Linked DNA regions of Rattus norvegicus. The protein of the gene in region 1 interacts with the protein of each later gene in a pairwise test. Links are inferred from orthologs where the notes say so. Each region holds a gene or a part of one and is shown on either strand. Other genes may lie near its edges. The genes, in order: Ppp3ca and C19h16orf74.

Evidence for each region.
Region 2: the proteins of Ppp3ca (region 1) and C19h16orf74 interact in binary tests that used the Homo sapiens proteins (3 or more experiments, as listed by UniProt). The two-hybrid records come from large-scale screens. The link is inferred for Rattus norvegicus from reciprocal best matches to the Homo sapiens genes PPP3CA and C16orf74.

Annotation. Positions count from the first base shown.
Region 1 is NC_086020.1:227,836,428-227,844,255, forward strand, and holds the start of Ppp3ca (protein phosphatase 3 catalytic subunit alpha), read left to right. Parts: upstream 1-3,179; 5' UTR 3,180-3,385; coding exon 3,386-3,443; coding exon of another isoform or gene 3,444-3,635; intron 3,636-7,828. UniProt on the Homo sapiens protein: Calcium-dependent, calmodulin-stimulated protein phosphatase which plays an essential role in the transduction of intracellular Ca(2+)-mediated signals. Many of the substrates contain a PxIxIT motif and/or a LxVP motif.
Region 2 is NC_086037.1:65,590,680-65,598,507, reverse strand, and holds the start of C19h16orf74 (uncharacterized protein C16orf74 homolog), read left to right. Parts: upstream 1-3,513; 5' UTR 3,514-3,549; coding exon 3,550-3,636; intron 3,637-7,828.

The DNA.
Region 1 (7,828 bases):
AAGGATGTGTATCAGGTGTCCCATCACTCTGCTGGCACATCACAGACAACTTTACCCATTTTATCAATACCAAGAACCAATCACATGGACTCATCATGGTCAGGCTGTGAAATGGAATTCCAAATAGGGAAGCTGCTTCCTAGAGATAATTAAACGAAGGAACACCATATTAATTTTGCTTAGTGGATGAAATGCTGTCTTTTAATCATTTTTTAAAAATTTTACCTTCTCTCCATAAGCAAAGGACATTTCCAAAGCTAGTGCCTGAACACCGAAGCTGTCACCTTGAAAATGTGGATTCCAAAATGTAAGTTAGTCTTTGTCAGTTTGAATATGGTCAAGAACTGTTTTAGGACTCTAACAGGGTTTAAGGAGAAAGGGAAAAGAATAGTCATAGCAGAGAGCTGGCCTCTGAAGGGATGACAGGCTAACAGGGATACCTTGGCTATCTGGTTGAGTAGGCTGGGAAACACACACACACACAAACACACACACACACAAAGTATCGGATGATAGAAAGATGTGCTGTGCAAAGTGATTACCGTTTGTTTTCTCTTCCACTCACTCAGACCTTAGCTTGGTGCTGTTCTAGCCAGGGTTCTAGCTGGTAGACTTGCGGTGGACTGAAGGGTGTGTCTGAAAGGTATACATTTGGTTCCTATTTCTGTCATAAAACTTTCCCGTGTGTTTGCTACCTTTAGCCTCTGATCCTAGTTCCAGGGCACCTTGCCTATGCCCAGGGGAGAGTTCCTGTAAATAACAGTTGCATCTGTGTGCAGCATGTGGGGGAGGGAGTCTTGGCCTTAAAATCGAGTATCCCCAGATAAGGTTTCCAGGTCTTTCCTGCAGCAGGCCCTTCTCACCCACAGGTCTTGGCATCCTTCCCTCGCTTCCAGTCATCTGGCCAGGGACCAGCTTCCCAAATCTGCCTTGGCAACTAGCTGTGCTCTAGCCCAGGAGGCTGTTTGCAACAACCCCTAACTGGGGAGAGTATAGAGTCCTCTTGGAGATCATTTTATGTTCCCCGAAAATTCCACTGGGCTATATAGATCTTACTGAAAGCAAGGGGACCTAGAGGTTGCAAATTTAGCTGCAGAAATCTGGCCACCAGGGGCAGCCTCCCTTTGCTGACGGGATGTGCCCACCAACTCCATCCCTTCCTCTGACTAGCAGGCCTGCCTTGTAGCATCCTCCGTTCTAATTTCTTAAGGCTACCTAGTTATTGTGCTCCGGGGCCACCAGGCTGCTATTAAATTTTAGTTTTTCAGACTTGAGTTTCACCTGACCCCTGTGGCCAGAACAGTTCTTTCAGCTCCATCTTCTATCTTCCTAAACTTCCTCCCCTCCAACACAAGCTTTCTTTGTGGAACAGTCCTGGCTGTCTTGGGACTCAGTCTGTAGAACAGACTAGCCTGGAACTTTCAGATATCCTCCTGCCTCTGTCTCCCACATGCTGGAACTAAAGGAGTGCGCCACCAACAGCTTGCTTTATATACCCTTTAGTAGGCCTTTTATTGAGCCCACAGTCCAATTCAGGAAATAGGAAAACCCTGATATTGAAGGAATTTGCAAGTAAAACAGGAAGGACAAGGGTGAGAAGTTTATTCAGCTTTCTTCATAATTTCCTTGCTGGTCCTTGGAGTTGTGGTAGGCCAGTGCCCAGAAGACATTCTGAAGAGAAGTCTCTTCCTGAAGCCAGAACTGTTTGAAAGGATCTACCTGGGCCATCAGCATTTCATACTCTGTCCCTTATTTTCTTTCTTAGGAGAGACTGGTGAGAAACTGCAACAGGCTAAGGCCCTACAGTGACTGACTGGAAGGAGCAGGAGGACATTTAGTGTCACCTACCCACACCAATGACTGCTAGCTCCAGTCAACAGGGAAAAGGCGACCTCTCCTGAATCTTTCTGACTCCTCTTATCCCCTAGGGCGTCCAGGGTCACTGAACATAGCCAGGGTCACATAGGCTCCAGTCCGCTGCCATCCTCCTTGGATAGCCAGTCACCGCGTCCCGCAGCGCCCCAAACACACTTTCGCCTCTTCCCTTGAAGTTGTGCACGCGTCCTAACCACCCCAGCAGCAGTAATCCGCATCCACCTAGCCCAGGCAGAGCTGTCTCCCCAAGGTAAGCTGTTTACTCGTCGCCTTCCTTGGCGATCCTCCCTGGACAGCTGCGGCAGCTACAGCAGCTGCGCCGCTTGCCCGGAGCGTCGGGCGCTCCTTCTTTCTCCCTCCTGGGTCTCCGAACTCACTACTGCGGGCCATGCACACACTAGCAGCGGCCGCGACACACCCGGGAGTGTGTGCGGGACCTCGGGAACCCGCAAGCGTGGTGACACGCTGCAGCCCAGTTCCTCCGGGGCCCTACTCCCAGCCCAGCCTCCCTCCTCTCTGCCCACTCCAGTGACACTTGAGCGGCCACAGGGCGGTGGAGGCTGCAGGCCCGCGGGACTGACTGGCACCCCGAAGAAAACAGAGCAGGGGGCGGGGCGGTCACACAGACCACCGCCTTAGCGATGAGGGATGCGCGCCACAGCCAATGAGCTTGCGATGTGCAACGTGGGGCGGGCCCTGAGGCGGACCCCGAGGAGGAGGTGGCCCTGGCGCTGGAGGCGGGGGCGGTGAGGAGGAAGGGGAGGAGGCGGAGGCGGGCGCGGTGGTGGCGGCGGCCGGCGCGGCGGCGAAGGCGAGGTTGTGCCCCGGACTGTGTCCACCGAGCTCAGCGGCTCTTTCCTGTGCGTGGAGAAGCAGCGGCGCCGCGAGGCAGAGGAGGATCGCGGACGAGCGCGGCGGCGGGACGTCTACGGCTGCCGCGGCCCCGGCGGCGCCCGGCGACAATCGGCGTGGGGAAGCTGCGGCGGCCGCAGCGGCAGCCGCCTCTCCACCACCGGGAAGCCGAGGCGCGGCTGGCGGCGCTGACATCCGCGGCCCTGCCTCTCCTCCCTCGCCCCCGGCCCTCCCCATGTGATCGGTCTTAATCCCGACCGTGTGCGCGCGTGGGGGCTCCATTGCGCGGCGCCCGGTGTCGGTGCCGGGGTGGGTGCTCGCGTGCGCTTCTCCTCCCCATCCCCCGCCCCGTCCCCAAGAATAAAAGAAGAACCGGGAGGCGTGCTCAGAAAATAAATAAATAACCAGCACACACGCGCAGCCCGGAGCGAGGCGGCGGGGCTGGTGGCGGCGGAGGAGGAGTGAAGGCGGCGGCGGCGGAGGAGGGACGCGCGGAGCCGGCAGTAACTTTCGAGCCAGCCCAGAGCCCGGAGCTCCAGCCGAGCGGTTTGCAGCGCGGCGGCGGCGGCGCTGAGTGTCTGGCCCGCCGGTGCGGTCGGGGTGTGCAGTCGGACGGGACCAGCAGCGCGTCGCTGTCCCCCCCTCCCGGTGACTGGAGATGTCCGAGCCCAAGGCGATTGATCCCAAGTTGTCGACTACCGACAGGGTGGTGAAAGGTAAGCGCAGCGCCGCGGCGGCCCGGGGTGCACCGAGTGCCGCAGGCGACCGTCCGCCCCTCCCCCGCCCCGGTTGTCCCTCTCCAGCTAGCGCCGGGGACCTTCTAGGATCTCCTGCAAGAGGCGATCCCCTCCTCCGCCGCGCCCTGCCCCCACACCGCCCACCCGGCCCTAATGGGGGCTTTTATTTATGTATGTATTTATTTTTATTTATTTATTTTTGTGGACCGGGGGGCAGCAGTTGGCAAATGGCTGAGTGGCTGGGAGGCGGTGGCGGGGGTGGCGGTGGCGGGAGGGGGCGCCCGGGGTGGGGGTGACTGCTGGCAGGGTGTAGCTGCTGTGACAGAAATAGGAAGTGGGTGGCTGCTCGCAGGCTTGCATGGGATCGGGTTTATGGTTTGCTCTTTGTAGAGGGAGGGGAGGTGATTTATGGCTTTTAAAAAATTAATAGGGCATTTTTATGTGGCCGTGGCTTGCCGCGGACTGGCTCGCCCCGGCACATTGCTCCAGGCGCTCCATTGCAGCAGTTCCCTGGGCGCCCCCTCCCCCTCCGCGGGAAGGGCCTGCACAGGACTCGCGAGAGAGCGGGAGAGCGTGGGGGGAGCCCAGCTCCGGCTGCCGCGCGCCGCGGGGGGGGGGGACCGGGGCCGCGTGGGGGCAGCGCCAGGCGGGGGACGACCGGAGCCCCCGCCGCCGCCCCGGGATTTCCCCGCAGGCCCGGAGCGACGCGAGCGGTGGTGATCCTCTGTCGACCTCCCTTGCCACCCATGGCTGACTGCCGCCGACCTGTCATTGCTCTTAAAGGGTTCCCTGCTGGTGCACACCTCTGGGGTGTGTGTGTGTGTTGGGGGGAGCTCACCATGCTCCCTTCCCCCAAGCTTCTAACACCCCCTTGGTAACAGGCTATTTGGTTGTCTTTATTGCCAGGGATGACTTGTATGTGTACAACTGGCGGAGATGGCTCTGGGTTGCTAGCTAGGTGAAAACCCCGGGGGATGCTTGGGGTTAGGAAGGGGACAACGTGGTTGCCCTTTCTATCCTTTGGAGGGATCCCACCAGTCTCACTGTATTCCAGCGCTGAATGGGGGAGGAGGTGCAGATTCGAAAGGATTAAGTAGTGACACTTATTCTTGGGGTCAATGTTCCCAGCAAAGCTAAGATGGGCACCAGCCTGTGCAGAGCGGGCCTCTGAAACTGGAAGGAGTGATGGGGGCGGTGTGTGTGTGTGTGTGTGTGTGTGTGTGTGTGTGTGTGTGTGTGTGTGTGTGATGAGATCGGAGACGGTATCTTATGCAGCAGAGCCTTTAGCTAGAGTGCAAAGCAATCAAGTCATTTGCTCCAGGAACACTTACGTGAAAGTAACCCGGCGCCCGCCCTAAGACCATGATACATATTCTCAGGAGCTTTAAGAAAGGATACTTGCGCCAGGGGATACTTTTACATTTGCTCCACATTTAAAGTTTTGAGTTGTGTTGTGTTGTGTTGTGTTGTGCTTTGTGTGGGTGTGTGTTATGTTCTCTTTTGTGAGAGAATAAAATATCTTCACTCCTTTTGGTTATATTGGAATCATTCCTACTTCAAAGTAGGATTCATGGAGCCGTCAAAATAGAGAGGGAATAGGGATAGCTCTGTAAAAAAAAAAAAAAAATTGGTGCCAGATCCTGAAGTGCACAACGGTCTTGTGCGGTGATCAGGATCTCCTTAGTGTGTGATATTTAGGCATAGTTCCAAGGCAAAGATACTTTGTTTTCTAAACAAAGTAATAGTTTACAATTCAGACGACACTATGTGCTGGTAGTAAAAAAAAGTCCTGTCACATTTTCTCTTTTAGATGTCAAACGGGGATTTCTAAAGTGTGTATCTCTAAAATGTAGATTTTCATTGTCATTGTCAGCAAGTAAACTGTGTAAAGCTAATTGCTTGATATGTTTACCAGTTAAGAGGCAGAGCCAGCGTCCAACCATTCCATAGCTCTTTTGCCTCATGCTTCAGTGTCGGGTTTTATAAATGACTTCCTCCACTAGTATGTAGGCACATCCATAACTCCAAAATTTTGATTCATGTATTTTTTTCAGAAGTGATATATACCTGTGGGCTGCAGATTCAAAATAGGAAACATTACTGTAATCTTCCACTTGTTTTGATAGGGATTCTACTGGAAGATTTTGTTTATAGAAAAAAAATATTGATGACTCCCGACTTTCAGATGGGCACCCTGCCATTGCTTTGTTTCTCTCATGCTTTCTTGCTCATTTTCTGTCATTGGTTTAAAAGTCCTGACACAGGCTTCCAGACAACATTTTGTCATGCATAAGACTTTCAGGATTAGAATTTTGAGACGATAATCTATTTTGATCCCCTTGAATATTATATCCACATTTAACAAGTGGAAAGGAAGACGTATGCTGAGTGGGAAAAAATCACAGAATTATTTTTCATTTTAAAGTGGACATAGTAGTATGCAGTACACAAAACATTATTTTAGTTCATAGCTTCTGAAACCTTCATGTCAATTGTCTTTCTCGAAGTCATTCCTTAACACAGGAAGCGGCTTATCTTTGATGAGCTCTTGAGGTCCTGTCTCCTCTTATAAAATGTATCAGTAGCTGTACTTGATACCTATAGGAATAGTCAGACCAGTCCTTTGGCATGCAGGGCCTTTTCCTACAGTTATCTTTGTTGCTATGATCTGGCTTTTGCCGGATGACAAATTGCTATTTACAAGTGACTCTGTGCTTGTGGTTTTGTTTATAGTAATAGGACAGCAGCTTTCTGCAGCTCTCTTGATTTGTGTTTCCAGAAGGCAACCTTAGAAAGGTAGGTGGAGTTTTAGCTTCAACACCATGGCAGTGTAGACGCTTGTTGAGTCAGCTACATCATGTACAGAGTCTTTAAACTTCAAGAAGAAATCCTTCAGTTAGATTATTTCCACAGAACAATGACCTCAACTAACGAATCATCTGTTGGTTTATTTGACTGTTCTTAAATTTAAAAACAAATGTAAAAGTTGTTAGAATTCAGAGAAACTGTTTTGGCATTCTGTTTGTTGGGAACCAGGATAATTTGATCCATTTGCTTGTTTGTTTATACATTGGAGCATGCAAACTTTATTTGTTTGTTTTGAGAAAGACTGTATATATGTTGAGGGCTTACTCCAAACTCAAGATCCTCCTGCCTCAGTCTTCAGAGGTGATTTCAGGAGTGCTGCACCATGTCTGACTCACATCATGTTTGAAAGCTACACGGAGAATACTGGAATCAGTACAAGACTGAAGTTAATAGGGTGACTAGCTCTCTTCCGCACCCCCAACATATCCTATTGCCTTCTTTCCTTTGTAGTATGCTCAAGAAATCTATTGACACTTTTGTTTTTGGTTGTTTTTCTCTGTCCTCTCTGTAAGGTTCCATTGGCTGTAAAGTTTGCCCTTTGATAGAAGTATTTGGAGGAGATTAGACTGATGTGTTTGTGGCAGTGCTCTGGCTCTGGATAATTCTTTTCTCATCTTCAAATATTTTATAATGGGCCTTTTACCTTATCCCAAACTGATTATAATAATTGACTTTTCAGAGTCTGGCAGGCTGTCAGAGGGTAGATTCCTGGGAAGAGTCCCGTAGACTGTGCTTGGTTCTCCTCTGTAGATGTTTGCGTTCGGTTTGGGGACGATAGCTGCTGTTGCACACCCTGTCACCTTTGAGCTCTTCATGTAATCAGGTACAGGTAGAGAGATTCTGGGAAGATGTCTAAGATCACAGAAGCAAGAATGCAGGAGTGGACAGACTGTTACTAAGTAACTGATGATGTAAGCCATCAGTGTTTATAGCTGAGGGGCACTGGTGTTTCAGAAAGAAAACAAGAATTTGGCAAATCACTAATGACTGTTGTATTTGCAAAAGGAAACAAAGTGGTGGGGCTATGAAGTAGAGCTCTTTTCAAATTTATTTTACGTACATTTTAATGACTCGATTAATTTGCTACCAGTTGATTGATTTTATTTGTCCGGCCTTCCTTTGGAATATAGTATAATTGATTTAAGTCCATTATCGTTAAACATCAGTATTTGGTGGGTAGAGTTTACATTGGCACTAACTGTTAAGAAAGGCATTTGCTAGGATAGCTGCTACCACAGATGACAGAGTCCTGACATGAATATAGTTGAGCGAATAGCATACACATCGGTGATGCTAACTATCAATTGGGTTGATGTATTCTGTAACATTTACTTTCAGGATTTCTTAAAGAGTAAAGGTAACACAGATGTAACGTTTTCAAAGGTTTGTAAGAAAGGGAGATTTAGGGAAATTCCAATGGCTCTAAATGTTATTAACTTCTAGGAGAAGTAAATACAATGTTGTTGTTTTATAGCACAGAAATGAACCTTTGCTTT
Region 2 (7,828 bases), on another chromosome or scaffold:
AACCTTAAGGCTGATCCTTGAGTCTGAGAGAGCTGGAGCAGTTTCCTGAGGCTGCATCCAGCTATGGAGACTTCAGCCCAGGTCCACAGGGGCCTGGGCTCTTGTACCACTGTCTTCACAGCTGCTACTGAGGTCCCATATAGAGGAGTCACCACTGCCTTCTCTCAACTGCCGAATACTATTTTATGCACGTGTGTGTGTGTGTGTGTGTGTGTGTACACGCGTGGACTCTAAGAGCTCTCTTCACAACCCCGCTTCCTGCACAGCCCACGGTGGCCTCTCAGGCTTCTTGGCAGCTGGTTTCCCCTGAGGAAGGGTGCTGGCATCTACTGCACCCCCATGCAGGCCTTCTTCACCTCCCCACTTCTGCCCTTGCAGGAGGCTGCTGATATGTAGCCAGCCAGGCCCTCGTGCTGAGTGCCCAGGGGCAGCAGAACAGTAGTTTCGCCATGTTTCTGGGTTACCAGAGGAGCAGGCAGAGTACAGGATGGGGCTCTGTGGTAACCAAGACTAAAGAGAGGGGCAGAGGGAAGGAAGAGGCCTGGCCTGTGGGAAGCAGCAGTGACTGGACTCTCAGTCTTCACCCTTTCTGGGTTGAACAGACCCAGAACGTTTTCAGTCTTTTTCTAGTCTGCCCGTCTACCAGGACAGCCCCACCCCAGCCTCTAGGACCACCTGCTGATGCCTGTTTCTTGGTCTCCTTGGTCCTCAGTCTAGTGCCAGCAAGGGTGGATGCACCTGACACAGGAAGTACTTGGGTCATGAGGAACAGCACACAGGAAATTGCTCCCGAGGCTGCTAATCCCTAGAGGTGAAGACGGGTGGGAGGGTGGGTGGGGACACTGTTCCCCTGGCCATGCAGATATAAGGGGTCCCAGAACTCAAAGGGGACCTGACTTCATAGCCATCCACCCAGGACAACACAAAGGATGCCCTCTGTCCCCCTAAAGCTTCAGATGATTCCGAGATGACTTCGCCAGGTACCATCTGATCTTCAATGTCTCTGTAGCCGTTTCCCACAACAGGGAGAGGTGACCCTCCTCCTCTACAACCCAGAGTCCCTTCCAGAAGCTTCAATACCACCTTGCCATAAAAGCAGCTGTGTACCTCAGTGCAGCCCTCAGCCTGGCTGCTTTATGGGCTCTTGACACTAAATTTTCAGGTCTCCATTGTGGCCAACTGTCACAACTGTCAGCCTTGCCTGGCCCAGCTGAGTCAGACTCCGGACTGGACAAGGTTGAGGGAATTACCACATCCGTTTCGTGTCCTTTTTCTTTTTGAGCCTCTTTCTTGTAACCCAGGCTGACCCTCTTACCTCCATCTCCAGAGTGTTGGGATCTCAGTTTATCGTGTTCTGGTGACAGAAACCAGGGCCTCATGCATGTTAGGCAAGCAATCTAGAAATGAGCCTCACCCTCAGCCACACTGGCTCATCCTGAGCTCCCCAGGTGATTCCTGCATGCTGTGGCTCTGGGAGCAACTGGGAAATACTCAGGGGCTCTCATCTAAGGATGAGTGTAAGTCCGGAGGTAGCTTTGTGCTCCTAACATCAGGACACTGTGTAGTGGCTTCAGGGGAGTGAGGGACCTCCACTGGGGGAGAAGATGGAGAGAGAAGCCATGGCCCAGAGGCTCAGCCCCAAGATCTCAGAGGCTGTGAGGAGAGCCCACCTCAGTACATCGAGTGACAGGAGCATTGCTCATCTTCCCATGTGCTCTCCGCACCCCCCACCAGAATGACTGGTATTCCCTCCATAAAGATAGCTCAGGACTGACTGGAGATGTTCAGTCAAGAAGCTCTACCTTTTCTGTAGCCTGTGACTCCCCTGTGCCAAAGTTCCCATAAGTGAGAATAAATGTGTACCCTAGACGGGTGTCACAGGCACATGGGCACATCAAGGCCCCTTGCCCTGGTGGCATCAAATCAGTACTCATGGAAAAGAACAAACCCAAGTTGAAGCCAAGAAGACAGACTGATGTCTAGCAGCACCAGCACTTGGCTAGCCCGGGTCCTTCGCCATCCAGAAGAGGAATTCCAAGGACTCTGGCTATCTCCAGGGGCTCCCATACCTGCTTTGTCACCATGAGAGGAGAGAGCCCCACCCCTTTGCTCCAGAATGCAGAACCTGGACATGGGGCCATTGGCAGCTCAGGAAGTAGTCTGTTGGGATTCATGGGAGGTGATGAACCGTTAGCAGGCACCTCATCGCCCTTGGAAGGCACCACAGAAAACCCCTAAGAAAACCAGGGATCAAGGAGAGGAAAATGTTAATCAAATATGTGCACATGTGTACGTGGGGAAGGGACAGGGCTGGTGGAAGTGATGTAAGATGCTATGTTGTGAAGCTGGAAATCACAGCAAATGCCTTGCACCAGTTCCTAAGCACTTCTGCTCATCTTGGTTCATGCCTGGAGACAGGCATGGCAGGCAGATGCAAAGTGCTTGCCCCGGAATGCTCACTTCACACGAAGACCTGGGGGCTCCAGCTGGGGCAGGTCCCACCTTGTCTGGGGAAGGTGGGGCATGGGCTATCCTGCCCACCTGTCCACTTCCGTTGGAATTCTGAAAAATATTTGATCCATTTCCTATCACTGAGACCTTAACAAAGCCAGGGGCTGAAATGTCACTGCATCGTTTAGTGATGGCTCAAAGTAGGGCGTGAGTACACCCACCACAGAAATTCCACTTTCCTGCCCTGGACTCGGTCTCCCCTTATAAACTCAGAAATATACATAGCACAAGGGCATGGAGACCTGAGGCTTGTAGGGTGGGCACACCCTACAGGTTTGGGACAAAGACTTGAGCTAGACAGTTGAGGGGGCATTCAAGGGGGGTCCCATGAGAGAGCCATTAAGACACAGACCTGGAAGCCACACCTGGCTATTGGAAGGGTGTGTCGGTATAGCTCAGTGGGGAACACTTGCTAGACTAATGGGAGAGAGGGAGGGGGAAGCCATACCATTTCCCTGGCATCAAAAACATAAAGACCTCTAGGCATTGGCCCAAGCTTGTAATACCGGGAGATAGAAACCAGAGGATCAGGGGTTCAAGGGCAGTGGGCTACAAGAGACTCTATTCTCAAATGATACAAAAGAAACCATGATTTAGGGAGTCAAGAGGCAGCAGCCCAAGGCCTCTTAGTCTGCGTTCTCAAGTCCTCTGCCAGCTGTGCCAGGCGGAGGCACGTGGCCAGTCAAAATGCCAGAACCCAGCAGCGGGGAAGCCCAGCCCGTGGGTCACAATGCCACCTGAACCTCCCAACTGCAGCGACGAGCTGGGGGCGTTACCTCTGCGTCTCTGCACAGGAGGTGGAGCCAGGCGCCCCTTTCCCCTCCACAGATCCGGGGACAGCGGGCCGGGCCGATGCCCAAACTTTCCCGGGTGTGGGGAGTGCGGCTGGGGTGGGGGAGGCAGCCAGGGAGGCGCGGCGGCAGGGGTTGTGGCTGAGCCCTGGGCGGGCTGTGGGGCGGAGCGGTCCGGGCGGCACCGCCCTCCAGGTGCCGGGCGGGGGCCGAGGCAAGCGCCGCTGCAGGGAGAGCAGGCCGGGCCATGACCCCCGCGGCCCACGGCTGCAGGCGCGTCGCCTGGTGTCCCTCACGGCAGCCAGCGTCCGCGCCCAGCGCGCCCCAGGAAGCGGTGAGTGTGCGCGCGCCGTGCGCGCCACGGCAGACGCTCCGGGACCTGGGGTTTGGCGATCTGGGACATAGGGAGGGACCCAGGATGAGGGACCTTAGGATCGTGGAGACCTAGGAAGATAGGGATCCGGAGGTGGGGAATCCGAAACGGTGGAGACCGGGGTTGCAGAACCCGGGAGGGGAGGGAGAGTGGGGTGGGGTAAAGACGGGGGGGGGTAGCCTGTGTAGACCCCACGGTGGTAGGGACTCCAGAGTGATGGGAGACCCTTTGGCCCCTGGCGACCCACAACTTCCTGCAGACTTCGCTGATCTGCTCGGCCTCCTCTGGCCGCGTGTCTGACATCGGGCGGGGGCGTGTCCCGCGCGTGGCAGCCTCAGGCCCCTCTTTGCACCCGACTGGGTTGTCAGGTTGCCGAGCAGTCGGGCAAGGTGGGGGCAGGAGGCCTCGGGAGAAACCGCTTCCCTCCACCAAGTGTTTCGAATGTATTATTGATGAGCTGCCTCGCTTAGGGGCGCCCAGTACATCAAAGCAGCTTCGCGACCGCAAAGGGCGACCCGCTCGAAGCAGGCACTTCTCTTGGCAGGGCTGGCCCTGGCAGATCTGGGGAGGGCGCTTATTAAAAAGAGGACCCGCAGCTCCCCTTGGGGATTCTGAGGGCAGGAAGGACTTCTGGTCTTTGCCAAGAGAACAGTGCAGCGCAATGTAGGAGTCGTTCCCGAGAGAGTATAGAAATGTTAGAACACGCCCTGTTTTACAGATAAGGAAACTGAGTCCCAGATGGCTTCTCCCGAGTGGCAGACTCTGATGTCTCTCTAGCCTGAGACACTTCCCTGGTTGTGCTAGCAGAAGAGAGCACCTCTTGCCCATTCAGATCCCTTTCCTAGCCAGGGCACAATGTAGCCTTGGTTGCATCGTGGTCCCCCCTCCCCCAGGTTTCCCTCCCTCAGGTCCGGGTCCTCTGCACAGGAGAAAGGCTGTGTATTTATGGAAAGACTTAATCCCTCCACCAACCCCAAGGCCGTGGAAAGCTGTGTCTAATCTGTCCCTGGAAGGCCTCAGCTGGTGGGCACACACCAGGCCAGAGTGTGCGTCCCCTAGGGAGGCGTAGGTCACTCGGGAGACTTAAAAAGCAACTCGTCCTCCTGGGCTGAGGACGCTGAGACATTAGTGCTTAGCCAGCAATTGGCTAGTGCCAGGCCTGCTCCTGAGCTGTCTTTACTCACACCAACCCTCTAACCAAAGCCTCCTCTTGTCCCCATTTTAAAGGCAGGAAACTGAGGCAGGAAGGTTGATAAGTCCAGGTGTTAGCACCGAGGCAGGAGGGAATGGCTTTCATCTCAGGTGCGGAGGTGGGGTGGGGAGCTGGGCCAGGTCTGTAGAATCATGGGAAGTAAGACCAACATAGAGACTGATATAGCCCACTCAACAGAAATCCTCTTTGAGTGTCAGTCTCCCAGCCGCCCCCTCTCCCTGCCAAGGTCCCCCTACTAGTAACCACCGAAGTATTATCCTTCCCCCTGTCCCTGTCATCAATCTTTAGGGGGAAAAATTAATTTATTTTTTATGTGTACCAGTGTTTTGCTGGCATATATGTCTGCCCCCTATACATGCCTGGTGCCCTTTGAGGGCCTTGGATCTGGAGCTGGAGTTACAAGCGGTTGTGAGCTACTATGGGGTGCTGGGAACAGAATCCAGGTCCTCTGCGAGAGAAATAAATACTCTTAACCACTGACCCCTCTTCTCCTCACACCATCCCACCTGGGTGTTCAGTCTGCACTGTTAGAGAAAACATCTGGATACTTTGTTGCACTGTTACCCGTTGTTAGCTGTGGGCTTTATTGTTTAGCAGATGTTTTTAATGCTATGGAAGCCGCAGAGTGGAGCATGGATATCCACTAAGTGGCCCAGAGCAGGCAGCAGGCTGGTTAGCCCCCAGTGGGGGTCTCAGTGATTGTTGGCCTCTCTAGCTTCCCTGAGACTCTCGGTTCAGCTTTCTGGCCTTGAAGGGAGGTACCCCAAGGCTAGCATCTATTCTCAGCACGGTGCTGGAGCTGGAATTGAAAGAATTCTAATCCTGCTGCACAAATCAAGTGACTTTCCTAAAGAAGGAAGAAAGTCAGATGCGCCTGTGCCGGGTGGAAACAGCTCCATGTGGGAGCTTGGGAAGCTGCTAAAAGACCAGGTTGCCCTGCCCTGCTTCCCCCAGCCTCTCAGGTCCACACACCTAGCAAACAGTCACATTCCTTCATTCTGACTGCTCCTGCCCAGCCTGATTCTTAAAGGACAGCTTTGTTAAGGAGGTGGGGCCGAGTACCACTGTGACTCAGGCTCTCTTGGCAGAAGGCACTGGGCAGAGACCATGGTGAGGGGCTCTCCCACCCCAACTCTCTGCTATTCAGTCTTCTATTCAGGATAGCTGATGCCACGCCCTCGGGGTTAAGGCTAAAGTAGCCAAGGTTCCAAAGAAGGAACCAAAAGAGGCCCATCTCAGGCCAACTGCAGGTTCATACTGAATCATAGGATATAGCTTTCCCACACGGGACCCAGGCATCCTCCCTACAGCCTGGAGCCTGACACTTCATCCCTCAGCTGCTCTAGGTTTGTGCGGCCCTGGAGCCCAGCCTCCCCCAGACACAGTGCAGAGCCTGCCTTCTATGAGCAGGTGCCCATCATGATGCTGTCTGATTTTCTGTGTGTTGCAAACCTGTGAGAGCCAGGTGGCGAAGTCACTTCTGATGCAATTAGTCTCCAAAGCCCAGAGAAGCCCTCACTATCCGCTTTCTGAGGCTCTTCTTGAGTTTTGACTGTGTCGTGTGCAGTACAGCGGGTGAGCCCTCCCTCTGCAGGAGCTCAGGAGGGAGTAGACCCAACCCTGCAAGAGGAAGTAAGGGTTTCTAACTGCCTGCTTGTCACTGGGGAGGATCTGGCGACCATTTGGTGATGAGGTTTTATGTCTCCAAGCCCATTGTTCTGAGGAGACTGTAAACAGAGCTCAGGTACTCTAAAGAGGAAGCTGTTCACACTGCAAAGGTGTCAAGTGAGAGACTTTATGCCCAGGCCCCCTCCCAGGATAGCCAGCAGCCTGTCACTTCCCTCTGCTCATGTGCTGCCCTGGTACTTAGCTGAACTGACAATTGAACTGAGGGAAGGATGACCCTGGACCCCCCTTTCAGGAGGAGGAGGAGGGAGTTCTTTTGAAACCAGATCTCAAGCTCCCTATGTAACTGGTGCTAGCCCTGAACTCCTTATCTTTGAGCCTCCACATTTTAAATCACTGGATTAAAAGTGTGCAGCCCTGTGCCTGGCTCGGTGTGCATTTCCTGTGAACCAGCTTGTCCTTCACAAAACAATGACACCGTGACCTGGATCAGAGGCATTACCGTGAGCTCCAGGCTGCCACCTAAGATGGGCTTTTTCCTTTTCCATTTTTGTCCTGTGTGTGCACATGCTTTTGTATGTGTGTGGGTATACATGCGGGGTGGGGGAGAATGCATATACATTGTGACTGCAAGGACATGTGGAGGCCTGAGGCTGATGTCAAGAGTCATCCATTGTTCTTCAGCCTCATTCATTGAGTCAGGATCTGTCAATCAAAGTCAGAGCTCATAGGTGTGCTTGCCAGCCAGCTCTGAGGATCCCCAGCCTCTGCTTTGAGACCAGCGGGGATCCGAACCCGGTTCCTCATCCTTGCCTTACAGGCACTTTAACTGCCGAGACATCTTCCCAGCCCCCGTGGGTGGGTTTGGTTTGGTTTGGTTTGGTTTTGACGAATACTTTGCGGACATATACTCTACCCTGACTGCCAGCCTCAGCCTCAAAGCAGTTCCCACTCAAAGCTGGCCTTCTCCCACCACCACCACCGCCACCACCACTACCACCACCACTTTGACTTTGTTTCTGGCACATTCCAGGCATGACAAAGACTAACACCCTCACTGTTCCCATGCTCTGTTGGGTGGCTGAAACCAACTCCCAACAGACAGAACCGGAGGAGCCAAGCTCCAAAATGGGAGTGCACACCCTGCTGAGTGTCTGACTGTATGTAGCCTGGCTGTAGTCAATGGGCCCCTGATGAGGTGATTGACAAGCTGGGCTTTAGAAGCTGATGAGCTCCTGCTCCTCTGGTTTGAGTATCCCAAGTGCTGGGCTTCCAGGCATCCACCACTGGGCTCTTCCTGCCTGCCAGGCAAGC